Rattus norvegicus: one gene and its partners. The protein of the gene in region 3 interacts with the protein of the main gene of each other region in a pairwise test. Links are inferred from orthologs where the notes say so. Each region holds a gene or a part of one and is shown on either strand. Other genes may lie near its edges. The genes, in order: Car8, Dnaaf4 and Spdl1.

Evidence for each region.
Region 1: the proteins of Spdl1 (region 3) and Car8 interact in binary tests that used the Homo sapiens proteins (3 or more experiments, as listed by UniProt). The two-hybrid records come from large-scale screens. The link is inferred for Rattus norvegicus from reciprocal best matches to the Homo sapiens genes SPDL1 and CA8.
Region 2: the proteins of Spdl1 (region 3) and Dnaaf4 interact in binary tests that used the Homo sapiens proteins (3 or more experiments, as listed by UniProt). The two-hybrid records come from large-scale screens. The link is inferred for Rattus norvegicus from reciprocal best matches to the Homo sapiens genes SPDL1 and DNAAF4.

The regions. Positions count from the first base shown.
Region 1 is NC_086023.1:26,144,213-26,147,866, reverse strand, and holds part of Car8 (carbonic anhydrase-related protein), read left to right. Parts: intron 1-25; coding exon 26-88; intron 89-1,020; coding exon 1,021-1,069; intron 1,070-2,286; coding exon 2,287-2,399; intron 2,400-3,654. UniProt on the Homo sapiens protein: Does not have a carbonic anhydrase catalytic activity.
Region 2 is NC_086026.1:82,585,129-82,588,782, reverse strand, and holds part of Dnaaf4 (dynein axonemal assembly factor 4), read right to left. Parts: intron 376-3,654; coding exon 222-375; intron 1-221.
Region 3 is NC_086028.1:19,791,670-19,795,323, forward strand, and holds part of Spdl1 (protein Spindly), read right to left. Parts: intron 419-3,654; coding exon 242-418; intron 1-241. UniProt on the Homo sapiens protein: Required for the localization of dynein and dynactin to the mitotic kintochore.

The DNA of each region.
Region 1 (3,654 bases), on a different chromosome or scaffold from region 3:
GTGGTTTGTGCTTTATGTATTTCAGATAGGGAAGGAGCATGTTGGCTTGAAGGCTGTGACTGAGATACTTCAGGATATCCAATACAAGGTAAATCATTATTTAAACGAATGTAGAATGGTTTTGCGTGAATTCCCAGTGGCCATCTCTAGGCTTGATAACTCTCTAGAAGGACATATGGGACTCTGACTGGCTAAACTGCTAAAGTTAACAGTTATGGTTTATTACAGGGTAAGGCAGAGAAGGGAACATGGCTTGAAGCCTAGGGGGACCTGGAGCCAAGCTTCCTAGTGTTTCTTCGGGGTCCCTAGTTGTCCCAGCATGATGTGTTACCTGTGTGAACTTTCACATCCTTGGTGTCTAGAGAGATTTTCAGGGACTGATCATTTTTCATGGATTGCTTAGTCAATTTTCCCTGACTTCTTAAGCCCTGTTGTTATTTCTCTAACACTGAGCCAAGCCAGGCATCTATATATTTCCAGGATAAGCCTACTGGCTCACATTGGTGTAACAGGTCCCAAGGGTGGAGTTGAAAATCCCCAGGAGTTCACCTTAAATATGGCATGACCCAAGCCTTCAGGTATAGGAAAACATCTTACCAGGGGTGGGGGCGAGGGACTCCAAGGCCTCAGAGCCCATCTTCTGGAAGGCAGCCAAAGGGCTCCTCCTGAAGCCAGGGTGGAGTCCAGGAAGTGAGGATGAGACTTCCTCTAATAGCTTTTCCTCTGGCACCTATTTTAGTAAAGATGTTTCTGAGGGGCAGTTGACACGAGTTGCATATTCTGGCATTATAAATGAAGTTTGTATTCAAAAGCAAGCAGCTATAGACGCAGAGAAGGTATATTTTTCTGGATCCAGTCTATTTCACCCCACTGAGAAGAGTGGCCCACTCACTAATATTGGAAACTGGTAAGATCATCAGAAAAGTCTTCAGTGTAGAGACCTTTAGTTTTAATAATTTTTATTCGAAATGTCTATAACCTTTACATTAATGTGGACTGAATTAAGTTTTCTTTTTCCAGGGAAAATCCAAAACAATTCCATGCTTTAATCCTAACACTTTATTACCAGGTAAGCATTTATCTGACAGCCATTAATGAACTTTAACTGTGTGTAACCTTCCCGGTTTCCTTGATTGTTCATAAGCATCTGTAATTAGCTGACAAAATGTCTTTGGAATTTCTGTTCTCTGGACCAGGTGCCATTTCAGATCACTGTTGATAAGGCAGGAAAGCCTTTGAATGTTAGGAAACCCTTGCCTCTGCTTCCTTATTCCAGAAAGAACTTTCTCAGTGACATCATTTGTAAAATGCAAAGTGGCCACCTCAGTGTAAAGAACCCACAAACATCAAATAACTGATACACTTCCAAGACAACCACCTTATTGCTAGAATGAAATAAACATCATGTCTACTTTTATAAGGTTACACCCTTACAGCATCACCATTTAAATATTCTAATTGTACATATGCATGGGTAATAATTATATATAAAACATCCTGAATATAATGTGGAGTTATAGTTTTGCTTTCCACATTTCTCTGCTTACATTATGTGCTGTTCCATAGTGCTTCAAACTAAAGCAATCACGTTGATACATTGTATCCTCTCTCCACATTTAACTGCTCTATCACAAACTAGTTTTTCTCACATATTGAACACTTACCTTGGTCTCTATTGAATCCCCAGTTCTCTTAGGCAGTGCTAAGGAGTTCAAATAAGTGACCTATTTTCTCTGATCAGAAGTAGGGTTTTAGTAATGTGCTGTTGAAGAAGCAATGTAGAGATGGCTACAACAGAATGTTTAAAAACACCACCATTATTTAGGGTCAAGTCTTCCACCAGTTAGTAGCTGTGTGATCTTGGATAAATTGCTAACACTCTATAACTTAGTTTTCCCATATAAAATGGAATGGGGCTAATATGTCACATTTATTTGTTGAGAAGATTAAATGAATTGATATATACTATTCCAAAGAACACTCGACACATAGTTCAATAGAAGTCAGCTATGAATTAGCTATTATGAAAAATGGGTAATAGTTTCTGAACTACATTAAGGCATATGATAGAGCCATTGATAGAAATCTCTGTAAATGTAAAGGGAATTAATTACGGTTTTCATTGATTATTTTTTTCAAAAGTGGTAGTGTGAGAATTTGTATATGAGGCTCTAACTTAAAAATGGCTTCCATTTGAGAAATGTATGTGAGTTGACTGCCATTTTGAAAACTGCTGCTAAAGTGTTAAGTCATCAACTTTCGTAACATATCCATGTATTTGTGCAGACCCTCTTCTGCGGGATTACTGGGTCTATGAAGGATCTCTTACTATTCCACCTTGCAGTGAAGGAGTTACCTGGATATTATTCCGATACCCATTAACTATATCCCAGCTGCAGGTGAGTATTTAGATCTTTCAGAGTGAAGCTCCGGGGCTAAATATCCTTTCTATAAAGGGAAAATGTCTCAATGTGCTTTAGTTCCTGTTGTTAGACTGTCTTAGCTTTCAGGTGAAAGTTAAATGCTGGGGGCCAGGGAAAACTATAGAACAGTCACAGATGAATGATGCCCAATGCTCATTTATGGTCTGCATTCTAAAAGTTAGTTTTTGTAGAGTAAATAGAACTTTCCATGAAACAGCCAAACTTTGGTTAGTCTAGCCATTGCTTTATATGGATGTTTCCAGGTATGGGGAAGAGAAAGTTCTGGAAGTAGAGTCTGCTGATGATTTCACAGGCATGCAGTATTCTTTCTTGACATGCAAATAAATTACTGTGATGTATGAGGGTATGTGAGAGAGTCAGAAAGCAAGCCCTGGGAAGTCCTGGATTGTTCCCTGGGGTTGTTTGCTCTTTTTGTCCTTGGGTTCCACATAGATTCTCTAAATGCCAATGAAAGTCATCTGTGGAGACACTCATCCACAGGGATGCTAAGGTGATAAAATCATTTGAGTCCCGGAGTTTAAGACTCGACTAGGTACTGTAGCAAGATGTACCTGGAGGAAGAAGGAGGAGAGACAGCCCAGTAAATTTTGACTGGATTTTAGCTGGGAAAGAATGAATCAGCACCTCTCTTATGTGTTGATGGTTTTGAAGGGGCAGGGGATAGAGCTCTTGATGAGCGAGCGTGTGTGGTCCTGGCTGTGACTAACAGGACCACTCATATAGGAAAAAAAATGATGATTATAGCACAGTGCATAGAGGTTTGCAAGGTTTCTGTCTTTCCATATCTAAGGATCATATCCTCTAAAGCTGTATTTTCCCATCATGACCAAACACAAATGTTTAAGAAATAGAACCAAGTTTTCTTTAGGATTTTTTAAAAATATATCATCATTTCTTGAAATTAAGAAGCTCAAGTTTACTAAATTCTAGATTGATTGCTTTGCTAGTATTATTTTATTTTTAAAATATTATTTTCATTTGTATTGATTATATTGATTATACTGTATAATTTCCTCCCTCCAAAACCTCCCATGTTACCCTACTCTCAGCTCCTTGAACTGTATGGCTCTTTTCATAAATTGTTGCATAATATGTATATATATATATATACATATGTATTCATAAATACATAGATTTAGTCTGCATAACATTATTTGTGTGTACATTTCCAGGACTGATCATTTGATATTTCATAATCAATTGGTGTGTT
Region 2 (3,654 bases), on a different chromosome or scaffold from region 3:
GTTTTACCTGCATGTAAAGGTATGTGAGGGTGTCTGATTTGGGAGTTACAGACAGTTGTGAGCCACCATATGGGTGCTGGGAATTGAACTCAGGACCTCTGGAAGAGCAGTCAGTGCTCTTAACGACTGAGCCATCTCTCCAGCCCCAAAGCATTATATTCTTAAATGAAGTAAATACATAAATGTATTCACAACACACCTAAACAGAGAAACGTACTTACCTTAGAAGAGTCCTCAATGGCCTTGTGTAAGTTTTTTAACTTGAGGTGGCAAGCAGCCCGATTCAAATACAGTACTGGGATCTTACGGTTCAATCGTATGGCTAAATTATAGGCGTCAATCGCTGCCAAGTAGTTTTCTGTTGCAAACAATTTGCTAATGAGACAAAAAGAAAAGGCCAATTTAACACTGAAACAGACATGGAGAAATAACATCTACCCTACTTGGCACTCAGTCAGTCAGTTTACCATCTGCCTTGTTTATTCCCAGTCAGATGGAGACCGCCTACCACAGACTCCGTCTCTCTACATACACCAAGCAAGCACACGGAGTAGGACAGATCCTCCCACACAAAGGCAGCCATCCTTTGCAGCAAGCGTATGTCAATCTTCCTTGATAAGTTGATTTATTTAGGGATAGGAAAGGGGCTTAAACTGGCCTGAATGAAGCTGGTGCTTTTGGCCTCAAGTTGGGGTGTGAGAAGCTGGTACAACTTCTCCCTCTGCTGGATACAGAGGAGGGAAGCACACAGCACAAATGCGGCTGCTCATTGTTAACCATAGGAGAAACTAGCTACATGAAAGCTGGTGCAGAGAGAACAGGAAAGGACAAGAACCAGAGGGAACAGCTCTTCACGACACCTGGAAGCTGTGAGCTGAGTGTGACACCTGTGTCAGCACACAGGCACCACCAACCAGCCTGGTGGTACAGACCTGTAATCCCAGCTGCTTCACAAGCAGGGGTGAGAAGACATGAGATCAAGGTTTGCTTGGCTTACACAACAAGCTGAAAGTCAGCATGGGCAATTTAGTGAGACCCCGTCTCAAAATAAGGAAGGAATTGCTGCAATCCCACTCCTTGAGAGGGAGAGAGGAGACCCGGGGTTTAAGGCTTTGTTTGGCCACACAGCAGGTTCCCCAGACTGTGCCATGTGAGCCGCCTGTGAAAACAAACAATAAGTGACATAATTTTAAAAAGGGAAAAGGACAGGGGATATAGGTCCGTGTTATAGCACTTGTCTAGATCATGAGGCCCTTGATTCAAACCCTGATACTGCAAAAATCTATTGGACGGACAGAGCGTGCACAGGTCAGCCAGCCAGCATCAGTACATCTTACTAAAGGGACACATGCCCCTTTGATTTAGCATTCAGAATGAAGCAGAGAGAGGAATTCTAAATATGATTTTAACAAATAACATGGACATGGTGCTAAAGGCCTACAATCCCAGGAGTTTAGAGGCAGAAGCAGGAATGCTGATATGTCAGTTCAAGAAGAGTAAATTTTGTTGGGTGGTGATGGCACACACTTTTAATCCCAGTACTCAGGAGATAGGCAGAGGCAGAGGGGCAGAGGCAGAGGGGCAGAGGGGCAGAGGGGCAGAGGGGCAGAGGGGCAGAGGGGAAGAGGGGCAGAGGGGCAGAGGGGCAGAGGGGCAGAGGGGCAGAGGCAGAAATAGGCAGCTGTCTGTGAGTTCAAGGCCAGCCTGATCTACAGAGCCAGTTCCATGACAGCTAGGGCTACACATAAAATCCCTGTCAAAACAAAGCAAAACAAAACCCAAAAACCTAGTAAAACAAACTCCTCAGAGGTATGAAAGCATATGCTTGGGAGGTGGAGGCAGGAGAATCATTGTGAGTTCAAGACCAGCCTAGCCTATATAGGGAGTTTCAGGCCAGCCTACAAAGTGAGAGCTTGTCTCCAAACCAAAACAAGCAAACAAACGAAAGTCATGGCTTGGTGCTCTCTGGCAGTGCACTCAACTGATTTTTCCTAGAGGAAAAGGGTCGTAAAAAGGGAAGAGTGACTTTTGCCTCCTCTGCACTTTGTCAACAGACTCTAAACACCAAGTACTGCAACAGACTAGGATAAGCTGTAAAGCACCATCAGTGGAGGACACCTGCGGCTGAGAGGCCACCTTGTAATGGCAATCCTATCATCCTTCTACAGGAAAAGCAGGGTGAGGAGACTGGCCTGTCTCTACAGACCTTAGTTTATTTCAACACAGGAGCAAAGGTAGGGTTCCTGGTCCTGTTCTGAACACATTTAGGTACACAGGTTAAACTAGGTAGCTCATACCTATGACCCCAGCACAGGCCAGAGAACTGCACAAATTCAGTGTTAGACTGGGCTACAAGAGAACCTGGCTCAACAAAATAAGGAGACAGCTCTCACGATCCCCTGGGACAATCTTGCGGTTTGGGGGCGCAGGGGAGGAATCTGCAGGTTGAAGCTAGGGCCTCATGTGTCACATGTGGGAGGCATGTTCTTGACCACCAAGCAGCACTCCCAGCCTGGCACTATCATTCAGAAGACACTGTGTAGCAGTCAGCCTTGGCAGACAGGGTCTCTTAGGAAGCAGCGGACAGATTCATACAAATAACAAGCATGATGATCCCTTTGCAGGGCAAGAGTTTGCAGGTTTTCCGAAACCTTCCACACAAAACTTTCATCCTGGGATGGCAAAATGGCTCAGTGGTTAAGAGCACCGGACTGCTCTCCCAGAGGTCCTGAGTTCAATTCCCAGCAACCACATGGTGGCTCACAACCATCTGTAATGGGATCTGATGCCCTCTCTGGTGTGTCTGAAGACAGCTACAGTGTACTTATAAATAAAACAAACAAATAAATCTTAAAAAAAAAAAAGCCTATCCTCCCTCAGCTCTGGTGGAGAGCTACTGTGGGTGAGAACCACACTCACCTAGCCTGCCTATGCACAGGCTCTGAGGGACTAGACTAGCAAAGGGAAGATCCATGAAGTGTATGCTGCTTGCTTTTGTCCCCTGAGAACCATCTGCCTTTTTTGGTGGTTGGTTTTGTTTGTTTGTTTGTTTGTTTGTTTGTTTGTTTTGAGACAGAGTCTCACTAGGTAGCCCTGTCTAGTCTGGAACTCACTATGTAGACTAGGCTGACACTCAGCCTCACCAGGCTTTTCAGACAGGGTCTCTCGCTGGGATCTGGGGCTCCCAGCCAAGTTAGGCACATGTGTCTAACTCTATGTCCCATGGGCTCCTTTTTTTCCTGGATTACTCTATGAGGAAAAAGTCAGTCTGTATGTTGCCCCTGATGTGTGTGACTCATTATATAGATGGAGCTGCTTCTGCCTCCAAGCTCCCAGGATTATAGGCCTTTGAAGTATTGAGGTTTGATCAAGGGCCTCATGATCTAGACAAGTGTTATAACACGGACCTATATCCCCTGTCCTTTTCCCCTTTTAAAATTATGTCACTTATTGTTGGTTTTCACATGCGGCTCACGTGGCACAGTCTAGGGAACCTGCTGTGTGGCCAAACAAAGCCTTAAACTCCAGGTCTCCTCTCTCCCTCTCAAGGAGTGGGATTGCAGCAATTCCTTATTTTGAGACGTGGTCTCACTAAGTTACCACCATGCCGACCTTCAGCTTCTTGTGTAGGCCAAGCAAACCTCGGCGGGGGCA
Region 3 (3,654 bases):
TATTTCAAATACCAATATTCATCTACCTGATTTAAATAATTAAATAAATTATTACCTGTAATTAGAAGCCTAGCATGTATACAAATTCCTGCCATAGCTTGTTTCTCGGTATTTCCACTCAAAGCGTTACATAGAGAAACTTAGCTGTTTTGTAGAGCTAGAACTTACGCACCCCACGCACCCAATGCTTACAGATAACCGTGCAAGCACAGGGAATTGCACTCTGAACACAGATCCAAACCTTGTTTCTCAGGCCGTGCACTTCCTGCCGGTGGCTTCTGTGCAGCTGCATTTCTAACTGCTCCAGCTGCGCTTTCTGCTGCTGCCTCAGGGCCTCACACTCACAGCTCAGACTCTCCAACATCCGACTCTTGAGCTCTACTTCTCTTTGAAGGGCATACTTCTCTTGGTTATAATTCTGAAAACACATTTAAATGCATAAAATCATTGGATATTACCAGTTAGCACCTTAAGCTGGTTGGTTCATTTGCTGCTTTCCAAGGAACAACCACCTGTCAAGTTGGGGCTAACATAGCTAATCTTTCGTTTACTTTTTTGAGTTGGGGGCAGGGTTACATCATGTTCACATGGGGAAGCACACATGTATATGTATGTTACTGTAGGAGAGATGACAGCTTCAGGTGTTGTTCCTCGGGTAATGACCACCTTATTTGGGGGACAGAGTCTCTCACTGACCTGAAACCTGCCTGCTAACTAAGGCAGGAGGGACTGCCATGGGCTGAGCTGGGATCCACCTACTTCTGACGCTCCAGAGCTGGATAACAATAGGACCATGCTCCACCGTGTCTGGGAACTATACTCAGGACCTATGAGCCCAGACCTGTAACCAGTCTAATGAACCCCAAAAGGTGGATTTGGATCTGCAGGGGTCTCAGAATGCTCAAGCTGAAAGAAGGAAAGACACTGGTCCTAGGAAATTACTGACTTCGCCTTCCAACCTGTGGTCTCTGTTGCCCCGAAAGCCAGCAGAGCAAGTAGTAATGGAGGAGTCAGTCTCTGAATGTCAAATCCAGAAGGAACAGACTGCAAAGTGTTAAGGATTTCCTGAAAAAGTTTTGCTCTTGGCTAAATAACTGTAAGTGTAACTGTAAGATTTAACATGGTAGTAAGCTTTATTGCACATTGATCACAAACTAAGAATTTGGCTGATTATTAGAACAGTAAGTTATTTCTTATTTAATACAACAGTACAATAACAGAATCTTTCCATAATTAGAATCCACTTGAGAGACAACAAGAAAAAATAAAGGGGCCTTTGGTATCAACAGACCAGAAACACTATAACCACCTCAGAGAAACTCAGCCCTCCTTTCCAACAACTATCCATTCTGTGCTTACTCCAAAAGCTAACCTCAAGACCATCTAAAGCAAACACTCAGCAACCTTAAGCCACAGTGACAGGTACTGAGGACAGGGGCAAGTTAAGAAGAGACTTTCTTTTTTTTTTTCTTTTTTTTTTTTTCGGAGCTGGGGACCGAACCCAGGGCCTTGTGCTTGCTAGGCAAGCGCTCTACCACTGAGCTAAATCCCCAACCCAAGAAGAGACTTTCTAAGGGAACAGGTATAGGAGCGCATTCTCCAAGCAGCAGGAGCAAATGCTCATGGACGCCAGATGCTGTGACGCACAGACTACAAGGGAATCCTGTTCAGCAGATCACCTTGTGCCAGGCATCCAAGCTCAGCACTGGATGTCATTTGTACCTTATCTACCAGGAATATGTTTCCAGAACCCCCGCCTGATGCTTGGACCCATAAACAGTACCAAACCCTATACATACCATGCTCACCCATGCCCAATATGTAGTATTTGACTGAATAAAATTTAATTTTTAATTTGACAGAATAAGAGACTAATGATATAACCAATGATAAAAAAGCAATTTAAAAAGTTATGTGTCATTTTTCTCTCAAATATCTCTATACTACAGTCACTATTCTTAGATGTGAGGCAGTATAATATCCATGTGATGAGATGAAATGTGTCAGGTGTTGTGTAAGGCATTTGACATCGTGTTAGGTGACTAATGACCTCACGAGACATCAAGAGGAGCAACATCTGCTTCAGGTACCCAAGCAGGACGTAACCATTACAGATTTATAAATTATCATTTCATATAAATATCTAGAGTTGTCCATGTGTTATCTATGAACAACTATAGATAGGAGAAGTATGTCAAGTCCGTGCTGGAGGGACAGTAATTGCAGTTTTCTGTCAAGGAAGGATGAACCTCACAGCATGACGGTCCATCAATCCCTATGGGAAGACAAAACAAAGGACACCGTACCAAAGTTAAAGGACACGCTACTCCAATGTTCCTGGTAAGCATTACTATCTGATAATGAGATGTTCTTCCTTGACTGCTTTGAAAAACAGTGGGATGGGTAAGAGGAAAAATACTGAATACTTTCAGAGCACTGTTTCATTTACAAAATAACTATAGACATGGTTAAAAAGTATTGCAGTTCCGTTTCTTTTTTTCTTTTCTTTTCTTTTTTTAATGAGATAAAGCAGGGTAGAGGAGGGATTTGGGGGAGGAACAACTAACCCCGAAAACTACTGCAAAAACTACTATAAAAGGTTCCTAAGATGTATACGTCTATTAAAAAGGTATTTAATAGTGTTACCATATAATTCTGCACACCGACTTTGTCTCCATTCTGAGATATATGATCTTCGCCTTGTGATTGGGCATGGAGTACTTACTAAGGACAGCAGCTCTTGGGAAAACAACATGTCATTAGTGATGTCCACCTGCTATACTGATAATCCCGAACTTCAGTTTTAAAACTCTAAACATTTAATATTAAACTGATCTAGTAATTTTAAAACCATTTGTGTGGCAGGTAATAGGTGTATGTTAGTGCGTAAGACTAGACAAGATTTCCTCTCACACTGCTTGCAGCTCTGGAGATAATCGGCAGGAGAGTTCGCAGTTTTACATTATACAGTCAGTGTTAGCCACCATGCTTACAGGACATGTGACTGACAGTCTGTGGTTGAGGACTCAGTCAAGAAGAGTGGACGAGTAACTCCAGGAGAAACATCCAATATAAAGCCAGTATAGGAAAGACTACAGAAAACACATTTGAAATGTGCTGCCCCCTTAGGAAGAGAGCAGAACACGAGAATATACAAAACCTAGTAAAGAGCTCAGACTATACCAAAAATACAACAGAAAGCCCCATGTGGCTTTCAGAAGGGAAGAAAGGAGATGGTTTATTTTCTCATGACCTCTTGGATATGTGACGTATGAACGGTAATGATGAAAGCTGGCCACCAGTTAGAAGGATACAGCAGCTGTCCAGTGGAAAGACAGCTATGGTCTGGGCTAGAGCAGCAGTATCTCAGGCAGGTCTTTTGGTGTGTTGCTTGTTTTTTGACAAATTAACTCAAACCTAGATATATGTGTAAAGAGGAAATCTTAACGGAGAAAATGCCTTTGCAAGACTGACCAGTAGGCAAGTCTGTGAGGCATTTTATTCCTAATGACGGATGTAAGAGGGCCCAGCTCACTGTGGGTGGTGTCACCCCAGGACATGTGGTTCTGGATAGTATCAGAAAACAGGTTGGCCAAGCCAGTAAGCAGCATCCATGGCCTCTGCATCAGTTCCTGCCTCCAGGTTCCTGTTCTG